Linked DNA regions of Ovis aries. The main gene of each other region encodes a partner of the protein of the gene in region 2 in a complex. Links are inferred from orthologs where the notes say so. Each region holds a gene or a part of one and is shown on either strand. Other genes may lie near its edges.

Region 1 (4,064 bases), on a different chromosome or scaffold from region 2:
GATCGGGTAGTCCAGGTAGATATCACTAGGATGAATCTGAGCAAAGACTTGGGCAGGACAAAGTCAGTAGAACAGGCATTGGGAGGAAGACCATTTCAGGTAGAGATGAGGCTGCAGCCAAGCCCCTGTAAGGAAGGAGTGACTACTAGGAACAGCAGGGCCTGTTGCTAATTGAGGTGGTTGCAGGTGCCAAGGGGCAGAGGTACTGGGGCCAGAGGCCTCACTGCCCTATTTCTGCTTGTTACCTGACAGATTCCGGGACCCCAAATCCCAGCGGACGCACCAGGCCCAGGTGGCGTTCCAGGTGTGTGTGCGCCCTGGCTCCTACACCCCGGGACCCCCTTCTGTGGCCCTCAGAGAGCCTCCCGATCCTCACTTCAGCCCAGCTGAACTTGAGTGGGTGACCAAGGAGAAAGGGGCCACGCTCCTCTATGCCCTGCTGGTACGGGTGGAGTGAGGGGCGAGGCCGCACCACTACAAGCACAGTTGGGCCTCGGCCCGTGGACTCGGAATGATGACTGCCTCCAGGTCATTCCAGCGCTCCGCGACATGCATGGTGCTCAGCCTGGCAGATGCACAGGAGCGTGTGGGCAGGCTCCTAGACTAGCTGGGAAGCGGAGCTTGGCTCCGTGCCCCGGCCGGAAGGGGACGTCCCTCCCTCCGCGGTGAGGGCGCAGTGGGGAGCCCGGCCGCAGACCCCGGGAAACCCTCTCCATGCACTGATCTGGGGAGCATGACTCCCCGCGACTCCTCCCCCATACACTTAATTTATTTCCGTTTCTGTTCCCTGGTTACTGTGAATCCCAGAGGCGTCTCCTCGTGCCCCAACGAAGCTGCTGTTCCGGCCCGGGCGGGAGTGGGGAAGGCGGGGGCCGGGGCTCGGGCCTCTGTACAGTTGTTACTGACTCTGATTTATAAGGAGCCAATAAACGAAGTCTAAGAGCAGCCGCCTCGGCCCCTGTTTCGCGTGCCTCTCGTCCACGGGAGGAGCCCCGGCCCCGCCAACTTCGGGGGCTCCGCCCGCTGGGCGGGCCGGGTCGGGGAGTCTCGTGGGGCACATAGCGGGGGTTTGGACACCACGAGCACCCGTCGCCGGCACTTCCGTCTGCGCCGCTCCGCCCAACCAGCGAGCCCGCGGAGGCCCGACTCCGGAAGGATTCGGCCCAGCGGCCGGATGTGACGCCGCGGTCCTGCAGCTCGGGAGGCCACAGAGAAAGCGACGAGAAGGCGAGTAGGGTGGGGCGGGCGCCCGGGTGGCGGGCAGGGGCGGGAGCACGGAGACCGAGACCCAGGCCCGCGCACGCGGAAGAGCCGCGCTGTGGGCCCGGCCGGGCGGCGGGCACGTGACCGGGGCGGCGGGCGGCGGCTTCCGCCTGGACGCGGCCCGCTCCCACTGAGCTGCCGCCTCCCCGCAGGCCCGGCCAGAGGTCTGGCAGCCAGCGACAGAGCCGGGCGCTCACGGCCCGAGCGTCCCCAGCAGCACCATGCCTGCGCTTCTGGAGCGTCCGAAGCTGTCCAACGCCATGGCCAGGGCGTTGCACCGACACATCATGATGGAGCGGGAGCGCAAGCGGCAGGGTGAGCCGGGCTCAAAGCGGGAGGACACACGGTTCGGGCGCTCCGCGGTCCACGGTGACCCCCACCCACGGGCAGACCAGTGCACGACGGCCGAAGCCAGAGGGACAGCTAGCCCCGTGGTGATGGTGGTGGGAGTTAAAAAAGGCCACGCCCGGAGCTGGGAAGGACCTTGGAGAGCACCTAATAAACCTCCCCGTTCCAGCCCCCTCACAGTGATGAAGCCTATTCCAGAGCACTGGGATAACCAGTTTTTGCTGTTCTTCAGTTCTTAATGTTCTAATATTTTAACACCCTGCCGCTTGCCCATTCTGCCTCTTATTTCAGAGGAGGAAGAAGTGGACAAGATGATGGAACAGAAGATGAAGGAAGAGCAGGAGAGAAGGAAGAAAAAGGAGATGGAAGAGAGAATGTCACTAGAGGAGACCAAGGAACAAGTAAGCAGTCCCTCCATCTCTCCCACTTCTTTCTTCTCTTGGCTCTCCTGCTTTCATCTTCTCTCCCCTCCCCAGATCCTGAAGTTGCAGGAGAAGCTTTTAGCTCTACAGGAAGAGAAGCATCAACTTTTCCTGCAGCTCAAGAAAGTTTTACATGAGGAAGAAAAACGGAGGCGAAAAGAGCAGAGGTGAGATTAAAGAACTAAAAATAAAATCGAGGCCAAAGTGTAACAGGGATCAGGTAACAAAAGATCAGTGTTTAATGGCAAATGGGAAGGGAAGTGTGTGGGGGTGGAGACAGGACAGACTTGTCTTTGACCCGCTTTCCTTTCGCTCCAGTGACCTGACCACTCTGACATCAGCAGCATACCAGCAAGGCCTGACCGTTCACACCGGAACTCACCTCCTCAGCATGCAGGGTGAGGATTAAGAAACTACTGGTCAGAATGGGCCCTCCTGGGAGTTGCAACATCATGAAGCACCCCTCTCCCTCTCTAGGGAGCCCTGGAGGACACAATCGCCCAGGCACCCTCATGGCAGCTGACAGAGCCAAACAGATGTTTGGACCCCAAGTACTTACGGTAAGAGTAGGAAGATTGGGTGTCTAGGCTGAATTTTTTTTTCCTACTTCCACCCAGACCCTAGCATCTTCACCAGCCAGCACTCAAGTCTTGAGTGTGTCTACATCTGAATAGGGGGAATGGGGGTGCTGTCACTTGAATTTCTGCTTCATGGAGTTTACAGGCAGTGAGTTTTCATCCTTCCTTCTTAGACCCGGCACTACGTGGGCTCAGCAGCTGCTTTCGCAGGGACCCCGGAGCATGGGCAATTCCAAGGTAGCCCGGGTGGCGCCTATGGAGCTGCTCAACCCCCACCTCACTATGGACCCACGCAGCCTGCCTACAGTCCTAGTCAGCAGCTCAGAGGTGAGGTGGGAAGAGGAATTTTCCTCAAGACCCAAAGGGAGGAGTGTTGAACAGGCTACAAGGAAGTTCTAATGGCCTCCTGCCTTCCTCAGCACCTTCCGCGTTTCCTGCAGTGCAGTACTTGTCTCAGCCACAGCCACAGCCCTATGCCGTGCACAGCCACTTTCAGCCCACCCAGACAGGTGATGGGAACACCCCATGCTGGGGCCCAGTTCCATGCATCCTACCTTCCTCCTTTCCCCCTTCTCCATTCACTTCACACTCCTTCCCCGCCTAGGGTTTCTCCAGCCTGGTGGTGCCCTGTCCTTACAAAAGCAGATGGAACACGCTAACCAGCAGACTGGCTTCTCTGACTCAGTGAGTAGAACCTTGCAAAGTCAAGGGCTGCCTATGCTAAGGGGAACCTCAGGCTGCCTCAGTTGCTGACACTGTTCTCTGCAGTCCTCCCTGCGTCCCATGCATCCCCAAGCTCTGCATCCTGCCCCTGGACTCCTGGCTTCACCCCAGCTTCCTGTGCAGATGCAACCAGCAGGAAAGGTAAGGGTGGTGATCGGGTCCCTCAGAATCCCTGCATTGCACCGTTTTCCTTTCCCCTCCCTGGGGTGGCTCTCTGGTGTGGAGTAGACAGGAGGGTGTGCACACTGACAAGGCCCTCCTTTCATCACCACTGCCAGTCGGGCTTTGCAACCACCAGCCAGCCTGGCCCTCGGCTCCCCTTCATCCAGCACAGCCAGAATCCACGATTCTACCACAAGTGACCATCAGATTTATCTTCAGCCTTGACCCCAACCCCTGCCCTTGGGGAGGATCCCCGGTATCCCAGTACCAGGCCAATAAAATCTACCTGCCACTGCCCCTGGCTGCTGTCTGTGTTGCCTCCCACTGGACTGTTTAAGAGGGTGGGCAGTGGCTGGCAGGAATCACAGGGCGACAGCAGGGTTGGTTGTAATGAACTCAGCAGCAGAGTTCATTCAACCTGTACTCTTCAGATTTCCAAATAAATACCCATTTAATTCAAAAAAGCAGTTGAGTTGGGGACTTCATATTAAACTTGTAGTTTTATTCAGGTTTGATTTTAACAAATGTGTCGGGGAGAGAGCCCGCAGGAAAGGATGAAGCCCATGGG
Region 2 (3,601 bases):
AGATTAAATCTTAGTTCCAGGGCTTTTTCCTTTTTTTGCTGCACCTTGCAACTTGCAGGATCCTTGTTCCTCAACCAAGGATCAGACTCATGCCCCCTGCAGTGAAAGAGCAGAGTGCTAACCACTGGACCATCAGGGAATTCCAGCTCCAGGAATTTAGAAGATTGTGTACCCTCAGCCAATAACTTTTCTTAGCCTTTTTCATCATATGAAAAATGAAACCAATAATAGTAAATATACCTCTCATGTATTACCTACATAAAAATATATTTTATGTTAAAGATGTGTCTCTATCCTGAAGGACTTATATTACCTAGAGTTATTTTTAAATTTTAGGAATAAAATATAAAGTAAGGCGGTATGGGTTCTTAGATCACACCAAACTATAATCATTGTATCTTATGAGCCAAGCATATCACAGAACATTAATCATACAACTCATGTCTTAGCATTCTCCAGCTTCCTTCAGTTATCTTTACCTGGTTATACACTTAGTTTTTGTTTTGGTTTGGACCTAATAGTGTATTTGTTTAAATACTGTTTCTGATTTTCTCAGCCACCTATCTAACATTTTCAGATGATGCACTATCAGATTGATACCCTGGTGGAGCACAACAGATACTTGGCCTTCTTCACAGCGTTTTATTATATAACTTTTAATTGTTCTTTAAATTATTTACATTTTTGGCACACACACACCCCCATACACACAATTATTTTTTGGGGGTGTTTGCACTGGGTCTTTGTTGCTACACGCAGGCATTCTCTGGTCGCAGCGAATAGGAGCCACTCCTCGTTGTGGTGTGTGAGCTTCTCATTGCAGTGGCTTCTCTTCTTTGCAGAGCACAGGCTCAGTAGTTGTGGTACAAGGGCCTGGTTGCACCGCAACCTGTGAAATTTGCCCAAACCAGGGATCGAACTCGTGTCCCCTGCATTGGCAGGCAAACCCTTATCTACTGTGCCACCAGGGAAGTCCTTTCCCCCACTTCTTAACACTATAGTAAATTATCATATAAGCATTTTGTTAAAATTATTTTTCAAAATTGTATCTTAATAATATTTAATGTCAAAATGAAGGTGTAGTTACTGACTCCAATTCCAAATCACAAAGACAAAATCTAAACCAGGTAATTCAAGAAAGGGAACATAATATAAGGAAACTCTAGCAGAAGTCTTATAAGAGTGAAGAATAGAGAAGTAGGAGGTAACTCAGAGTTTAACAACTGCAGTAAACCTAAGACTGTAGAGAAAATGATAGGATCCAACTACCCAGTGGAAATGGTGTCTTTAGAGAATAGGCTGCCTGGCGAGAGCAGGCACCGTGGAGCAATCAGAGTCACTGCCAAAGACCCAGTCTTAAAGAGAGAGGACCACAGAGTTGCCTGTCTGCCCTCTTTCTCCTGACCTTAGACTTCTGACAGTTTCTTCCACTTAATGAGCCCATCTAGGGTACTGCAGGCATGGGGACCTGCAATATGTCATGTCCTGGTGGCAAAGAAGGGCAGGGCAGAGCGGGGTGAGGAGTGGGCTGAAGATAAGCTCACAGAGGAACGGTTGTCTACATTGCTCTAAGAGGTTGTGGTGCACATGAACAACAGCATACCAGACATCGTGCTGATCAAAGTGGGCCAGTGTTTTTATTCACTGACTTAGTTGGATTCTCCCAGAAGCAGGATGGGAAAGAGGAAAGGAGCCAAGGAAGGGAACAGTTCTGGTGACAAAGGTCTAGGGTCAACCTAATTCATGCAGGGCTCTGAAGTGTTTGTTATATATCGGGATTTTCCTTGTCTTGCCAAGCAAGCTTCATTTTTGATTCTCACCTTTTCCCCCAACCACCTACTGCCTGCTCTAAATGCAGTGTTTGGTATGCTTCTATTGCTTAACCCAGTTACTTGCTATCATTACCTTAATCTGCATTGCTAATTATAGAGAAGCTTTGCACTTTGCAACAGGGGAAAATGAGAAAGGAAAGAATCTTTAATCATATCCGAGCTAAAGTATTAAATGCCAGCCAGCTTTTGAACTTCTGAGGTTTTAAATTCAGTGATGTAGAATTTAAGATATATTTGACAAGAATCAGTTAGAAGCAAAATGTATTTGCCAATCATGTAATACTCCCATTTATCGGTTAAGTAGATAGTGGAAATGGTACTTACTTAGTGTAACATTTGTCTCACTTGTAATTTACAAAGTACTTTCATACACGTTATCTAACTTGATGTTCACAATATCCTTGAGTACTAAGTGTAAAGGTTTTTATCCCCATTTTTTAGCAGAGAGAAATAGCGTGAGAGCTGACTTGCTTATAAGGGCCCATTAGTTAGGGAATAGCAAAACAAGGCTTCTTATCCATTGAACACTCACAGAATTTTAGAAACAAAAGGAAATGTAGCATCACATTTAATTTTATTCTTTTAGAAATGAGGTACCAAGAGTCTAGTGCTAGTAATTTACAGAGCAAACTCTCAGGAACCCTCATCTCCTGGTTACCAGGCCAGTATACTTTCTATTAGGCTGTGTCTCACATAGAGACAACCAAACTGAAATGTATTAATATTTGCGATATTTAAGTACCATAATCTTAAAAATTCTATTAATATAAAAAGAATAAAACAAATCGTTTTAAGTTCTTAATGTCCAGCAGTGTTTTAAAACTAAAGCACCCAGATTTCAGTACGTGTGGAATGAATACAAACCTGGCCTTTTTTCCTTTGCAGCACCAGCATTGGATGTTGACTGGCAGAGCAACAACACTTTCGCTTCTTGTAGTACAGATATGTGCATTCATGTCTGTAAATTAGGACAAGACAGACCTATTAAAACATTCCAGGGACACACGGTGAGAAACTTTTTTCTCCCTCCTTTAAAGCAATTGTGATGAATAAGTAATGTTTCAGTGGTTTTGAAGTATGTGTTTAATACCCAAAGAACAACCAAGTCTATGGAATGAAAATGTGAATGTTTACTGTTATTTTTAGAATGAAGTAAATGCTATCAAATGGGACCCAACTGGCAATCTCCTGGCATCCTGTTCTGATGACATGACCTTGAAGGTAATTCAGATAGGAGGGAGGAAGGGGGCTGAGGAGTTATACAGTGTGGCTGCGCTGGCCATTCTCAGAATGTGCCTCTTGTAGTTGGGAATTATGATACTAAGATTTGTGTTATTATAAATTGCCTTTGCTAGTAATGAGTCATATTTTGGTACAATGAAAGGTTATTTGCTCATGTAAAGATCTGACTCACAGGTAATTAATGAAGATCTTTGTAGGATTCATGGGTTTGACTGATATTCTGAGCAGTGTATTAATTGGGTTTTTGCTGTGGTGTGGATATATATCACCTTTGCTCGGAAACTGATGTGTAGTGGATATATAGCTTAATCGGTGAATGAGCATAGTTGACATGTCAGAATTCACATCTCAATATGAGTTTACATTTTTCTTGTTTTATAACTAAAAGCAAAAACTAGCACCTAGCCCCTGTGTATATCACATACCAGAATTAAGGGGTGAGAAAAGCTTTTTGAGATAAAGAAAAATATAATAATCTTCAAAATTAATGAAGCTTGAGCTGTATACTTCATCAAATTAGCTCTACT
Region 3 (4,269 bases), on a different chromosome or scaffold from region 2:
GATTTCTGGCCTATCTCAATCAGCAGTAAGGCCCAATAGAAGACTTTGGGACCAGACCTATTGTGTGTTTCCTAGCTAGAGACCCCTGGGTAGGTCATTCCCATTCTGGCCTCAGTTTCCCCATGTGTGCACTTCAGATAGTCAGCAGATGTTGATGTTCAGTTGCCCAGTTGAGTCCGACTCTTTGCTTCGCCATGGACTGCAGCATGCCCGGCCACCCTGTCCCTCACAAGTTCACGTCTATTGCATCCATGATGCTATCCAGCCAGCTATCTTATCCTCTAACACCCTCTCCTTCTGCCCTCAGTCTTTCCCAGCATCAGGGACTTTTCCAATGAGTCAGCTGTTCACATCAGATGACCAAAATACTGGAGCCTCAGCTTCAGCATCAGTCCTCCCAACAAGTATTCAGGGTTGATTTCCCTTAAGATTGACTGGTTTGCTCTCCTTGCTGCCCAAGTAACTCTCAGGAGTCTTCTCCAACACCACCGTTCGAAGCCATCAATTCTTTGCTGCTCTGCCTTCTTCACAGTTCAGCTCTCACAACCAAACGTGACCACTGGGCAGGCGGTCTTCATCAGATGGATCAGTGTTAGGAGGAAGGAAGGGGCAGGGGAGGAGGAGCACACCTACACAGCATCTCTAGGGAGAGTCCCAGGGTGTGTCTATTGCAGAGCCCACCAATGGCCTCCCCACCGGTCTATATGCCCAGGCCCCCCAGAAAGGCCTCTGTCAACCAGCCTGTCCCCAAACGCCGTCCCAGCCACCCACTATCATGGCACAGAGGGGTAAGAGGCAGATACACCGCTGGGAGGTCACACCCACTGGAATCTGGGAAGACTTCCCGGAGAGGGACGTTGGTACTGGCCTTGGAAGGAAGGACAGTAGGAGGTGAGGGAAGAGAACTCCAGGCAGAGGGGACAGCGTGAACAAAGGCATAGATGTGTGACAGTGCAAGGGAGTGCACCAGTTACTGGCCCTGGCACTATGCGAATTAAGACGTTGAGGTGAATTAACAGTTACTGAGCCACGTACTGTTCTAGCTCCTAGAGATACACCACTAAACAAAGAGCTCTTCTCAAGAGAGGTGGTGTGGTAGTGTAGTTATAAGCTTGGGGTTGGGAGCCACTCTACCTAGGGTTGAATTACTACCTGTGTGATCTTAGGCAAACTACTTAACCTCTCTGTGCCTTAGCTTCCTCATGTGTAAAATAGATGAGTAACAGGTAACCTCATAGGTTTGTGTGATGTAAACTATGGTGATGCATTGAAGGTGCCTAGAACTGTGCCTGGCTCATTAAGTGCTAGCTGATGGTATTCCTAAAAGGCTGGACCACCCCCATCTCTGTCCCAGTGCCTAGCGTGCAAAACCCCATAGCCGGCGGGAACGGGCAGCAGCGCCCCCTCCTGGCCACAGAGAGAAAGAAGGGCGTCCTCCGGGTCCTCCCCGCCCTCTTCCTGCAGGCTTACTGAGAAGCCTAAGGAATTACTCCACCAGCCCAGGTTCACAGAGCGCTGCTCCCGAGGTCGGCTCTGCGCACGCACTTCACCAGGCAGGTAAATTAGATCGTCTCATCTAATTTTCAAACAGCTCTCTGAGGCAGACACAGTTACTGCTTCCCTTTCATCAGGGGCGTAACTGAGGCTCCCGGAAGGTCGAGTCCCTTGTTCCAAGCCATTCGGCGAGGGAGCGGCGGGGCGCGAAGGTAGGCGAGTATGACTGTCCCCAGCCTCGGCTCGGTTAGCCGGGCAGCCCGCCCCAATCACTGCGGCGTGTGCACGCGGGTGTGCGCGCCCGTTCTGCGCGCGTGTGCGCGCTCCGGGACCAGTCCCGGGGGCCAGGAGCGCGGACAAGGGCTCGAGAAAGGAGGGGTGGCCCCCGAACTCGCGGGGCGCGAGGGCGGGGCATGTGCCTAGCCCTTGCCCCGCCCACCGGCCCCACCCGCCGACTTCGGTGGGGAGGAGGAGGCGGCGGCGCTGGGCTCCGGGACTCGGAGGCGGCTAAGAGCGCGGAGCCGGAGCTGGACGCCGCCGCCGCCGCCACCGCCACCGCCACCTGCGCGGCAGTCATCAAGGTAGGGCGGCCCCGGGCCGCCGGCCATACCTTCCCGGTTTGTGCGATGTGTGCGCGCTGCGCCTCCGGGCTGCAGCGCATGGGGAGGGATGCTGGGGCTCGGCGCACCGCGGGGGACCCGGCGGGGCGCGGGGGACCTGGCTTCCAGCCCCTCCGCGTGACCTTGCACAAAGCACTGCTCCTCTCCAGGCCTCAGTTTCCCCATCGGAATAGCCGGCGCAGTGGTGGCACGTTCCTCGCCTGACTGTTAGAGTAGGGGCCGCCTCAGGCTCCAGCCTCCCGACGGCGCGGGGCCCGCATGGGCACTGTCTGCGCAGCCCACCCGGAGTGAGCGCAGCTCATGCTGGGTGTGGCTGGCCGTGCCCGTCAGCCTCCTTCCCGCCCCCCGCTAGCGGCCTGGGTGCCTCGCGGGACCCGTGTGGTACTCGACCCTCTCCTGGCTGAGAAACCTGCTGGACCTCAGCTTCCGGGCACGAGAAATAGGCAGGGGGAGCGGACACCCCCCAGGTCCCTGTGGAGCCGGCCTGGGCATGCAGGGTGGAGCCATCAGAGTCTGCCAGCCAAGTCTACCTCGCGGTCTGGGGCGGCGGGAGCCCTGGGCTGGAGGTAGTGGGGGCCTTGGCCCCAGACTTGCCTAGACCAGACCTGTGCAAGCACCTGGATTTAGGGAATGGTGCGGAACCTGCCCTCCCCATACCCTTCCCTTCCTTTCCCCACCAGGTGCTGACGCTCAGCTCGGTGTCCCAGCCTGCTGGGATAGGGCTAGGTCCATGCATGGACCCCAGAGGGGCTCCAGCACCGGGAGAGCCATGTCTGGGTGGGGTTGGGTCTGGGACAGAGCAGGTGTCGGAGGGACTGTGTGTGGCTCCAGACTCTCTGTGTAAAGAAGAATCTTGGCATTTGGCCCAGCCCCTTGGTCAGATCCCCTCTGGAAGGTCTTACTGCCCAGTTGCACACCCCTTATTATGGGAATCTCACTAGCTGCAAACAGAGCTAGGATCTGCTAGTCCTGCTCTGAGCACACAGACAACATCTGACTCCTCCCTGCCTCCCAACCTGGGGTAGTCATCTGGACCCTTAAGCCAGTTCACCTCAGGGATAAACAGCCCCACATCCAACATTGTTTCTCCTGTTGGAGTTGAAGAGAGCCAAGGCGGGACCAGGAAGCTGAGGTGTCTGCCCCAGAGGGGGCAGTAGTCAGCCTGGGGCTTGTTCACAACCCACTTCCTTAGGATTTACCTGCAGGTGAGCAGCTGCCTTAGGTCTGGAGTGAGAGGAGCCAGAGGAGCCTCTCTCCGGACCTTATCCTCTCCTGTCACCCGCCCTGATTGAGGGAGCAGGTTCAGAGCATCAGGTCTGGGCCTTCTGGTCTCCCTTGTCCTCCCACGAGACCTGTCCCTCACCTGGGAGCTTTCTTACAGCCAAAAAAAGGGCTGCTGGGGCAGGGGGTGCCCGCTGGGTCCTCAGAGGTGTGTGAGCAGAGGTTGGCCAAGCACTTGCTGAGGGTGAGCTACCTTTGACTGCAAGTCTGGGACTCTCAGGCTGAAGTAGCGTGACCACGACCTTACCTTCTGGCCATGGAGGAGCTGCACGGGACTTGAGGCTAGACCACAGATGAGTGTTATTATTCCCTCGTAAAAGCAGACTAAGTATCTGTCCTGTCACTCAAGTGTAGCTCCCTCGCACAGGCTTAAGTGCTCCCTGTGTCTCCTGTCGTCTCTACCTGCGTATAATCCGGGCTTTGTTTTCCTGTTCCACTAGTCCAAGCTGTTTGGACCTTGATTTAGAGGTATGACAGATCCTGGGTATTAAACAGTCATCCTAGGCCAATAATTTTAAAATGCACCATGGAATTATGAAATATCTAAGCTGAAAGGAATCTTAAAAAATCATCTCATTCAACCCCGTCATTTTACAGATAGATATCCTCTGTCCCTGGAGGGGATGTGACTTGTCAAAGATCACACAGCAGACAAGCAACCAAGCCCAGAGATCTTTATTCCAGGCCTTGTGTGTATGTCTGAAAACACATACCATATAGTAAATGAAAGTACTCTATTTATTCCAAAATTAGCAGAAATAAATGTAAAAGGATAAAACTCTATGCTGGTAAAGCTATAGGGATTCTCCAGTAGCATTTAATTTTACAGGGCAATCTGGCAGCTTGTTCCAAAAGTCCATGAAAATGGTCCTAA

What was found.
Region 1: TBL1XR1 (region 2) and GPS2 share a complex: the UniProt entries of both Homo sapiens proteins name them as parts of the N-Cor repressor complex. The link is inferred for Ovis aries from reciprocal best matches to the Homo sapiens genes TBL1XR1 and GPS2.
Region 3: TBL1XR1 (region 2) and CORO2A share a complex: the UniProt entries of both Homo sapiens proteins name them as parts of the N-Cor repressor complex. The link is inferred for Ovis aries from reciprocal best matches to the Homo sapiens genes TBL1XR1 and CORO2A.

What each region holds. Positions count from the first base shown.
Region 1 is NC_056064.1:26,910,317-26,914,380, reverse strand, and holds GPS2 (G protein pathway suppressor 2), read left to right. Parts: upstream 1-1,172; 5' UTR 1,173-1,227; intron 1,228-1,415; 5' UTR 1,416-1,484; coding exon 1,485-1,578; intron 1,579-1,902; coding exon 1,903-2,012; intron 2,013-2,087; coding exon 2,088-2,200; intron 2,201-2,351; coding exon 2,352-2,431; intron 2,432-2,510; coding exon 2,511-2,593; intron 2,594-2,784; coding exon 2,785-2,938; intron 2,939-3,030; coding exon 3,031-3,120; intron 3,121-3,215; coding exon 3,216-3,295; intron 3,296-3,379; coding exon 3,380-3,562; 3' UTR 3,563-3,612; coding exon of another isoform or gene 3,613-3,696; 3' UTR 3,697-3,791; downstream 3,792-4,064. Other genes in the region: NEURL4 (neuralized-like protein 4), read left to right, coding at 253-457. UniProt on the Homo sapiens protein: Key regulator of inflammation, lipid metabolism and mitochondrion homeostasis that acts by inhibiting the activity of the ubiquitin-conjugating enzyme UBE2N/Ubc13, thereby inhibiting 'Lys-63'-linked ubiquitination.
Region 2 is NC_056054.1:210,755,444-210,759,044, forward strand, and holds part of TBL1XR1 (F-box-like/WD repeat-containing protein TBL1XR1), read left to right. Parts: intron 1-2,717; coding exon 2,718-2,839; intron 2,840-2,978; coding exon 2,979-3,053; intron 3,054-3,601. UniProt on the Homo sapiens protein: F-box-like protein involved in the recruitment of the ubiquitin/19S proteasome complex to nuclear receptor-regulated transcription units. Plays an essential role in transcription activation mediated by nuclear receptors.
Region 3 is NC_056055.1:49,564,784-49,569,052, forward strand, and holds the start of CORO2A (coronin-2A), read left to right. Parts: upstream 1-1,452; 5' UTR 1,453-1,706; intron 1,707-1,986; exon of another isoform or gene 1,987-2,075; intron 2,076-4,269.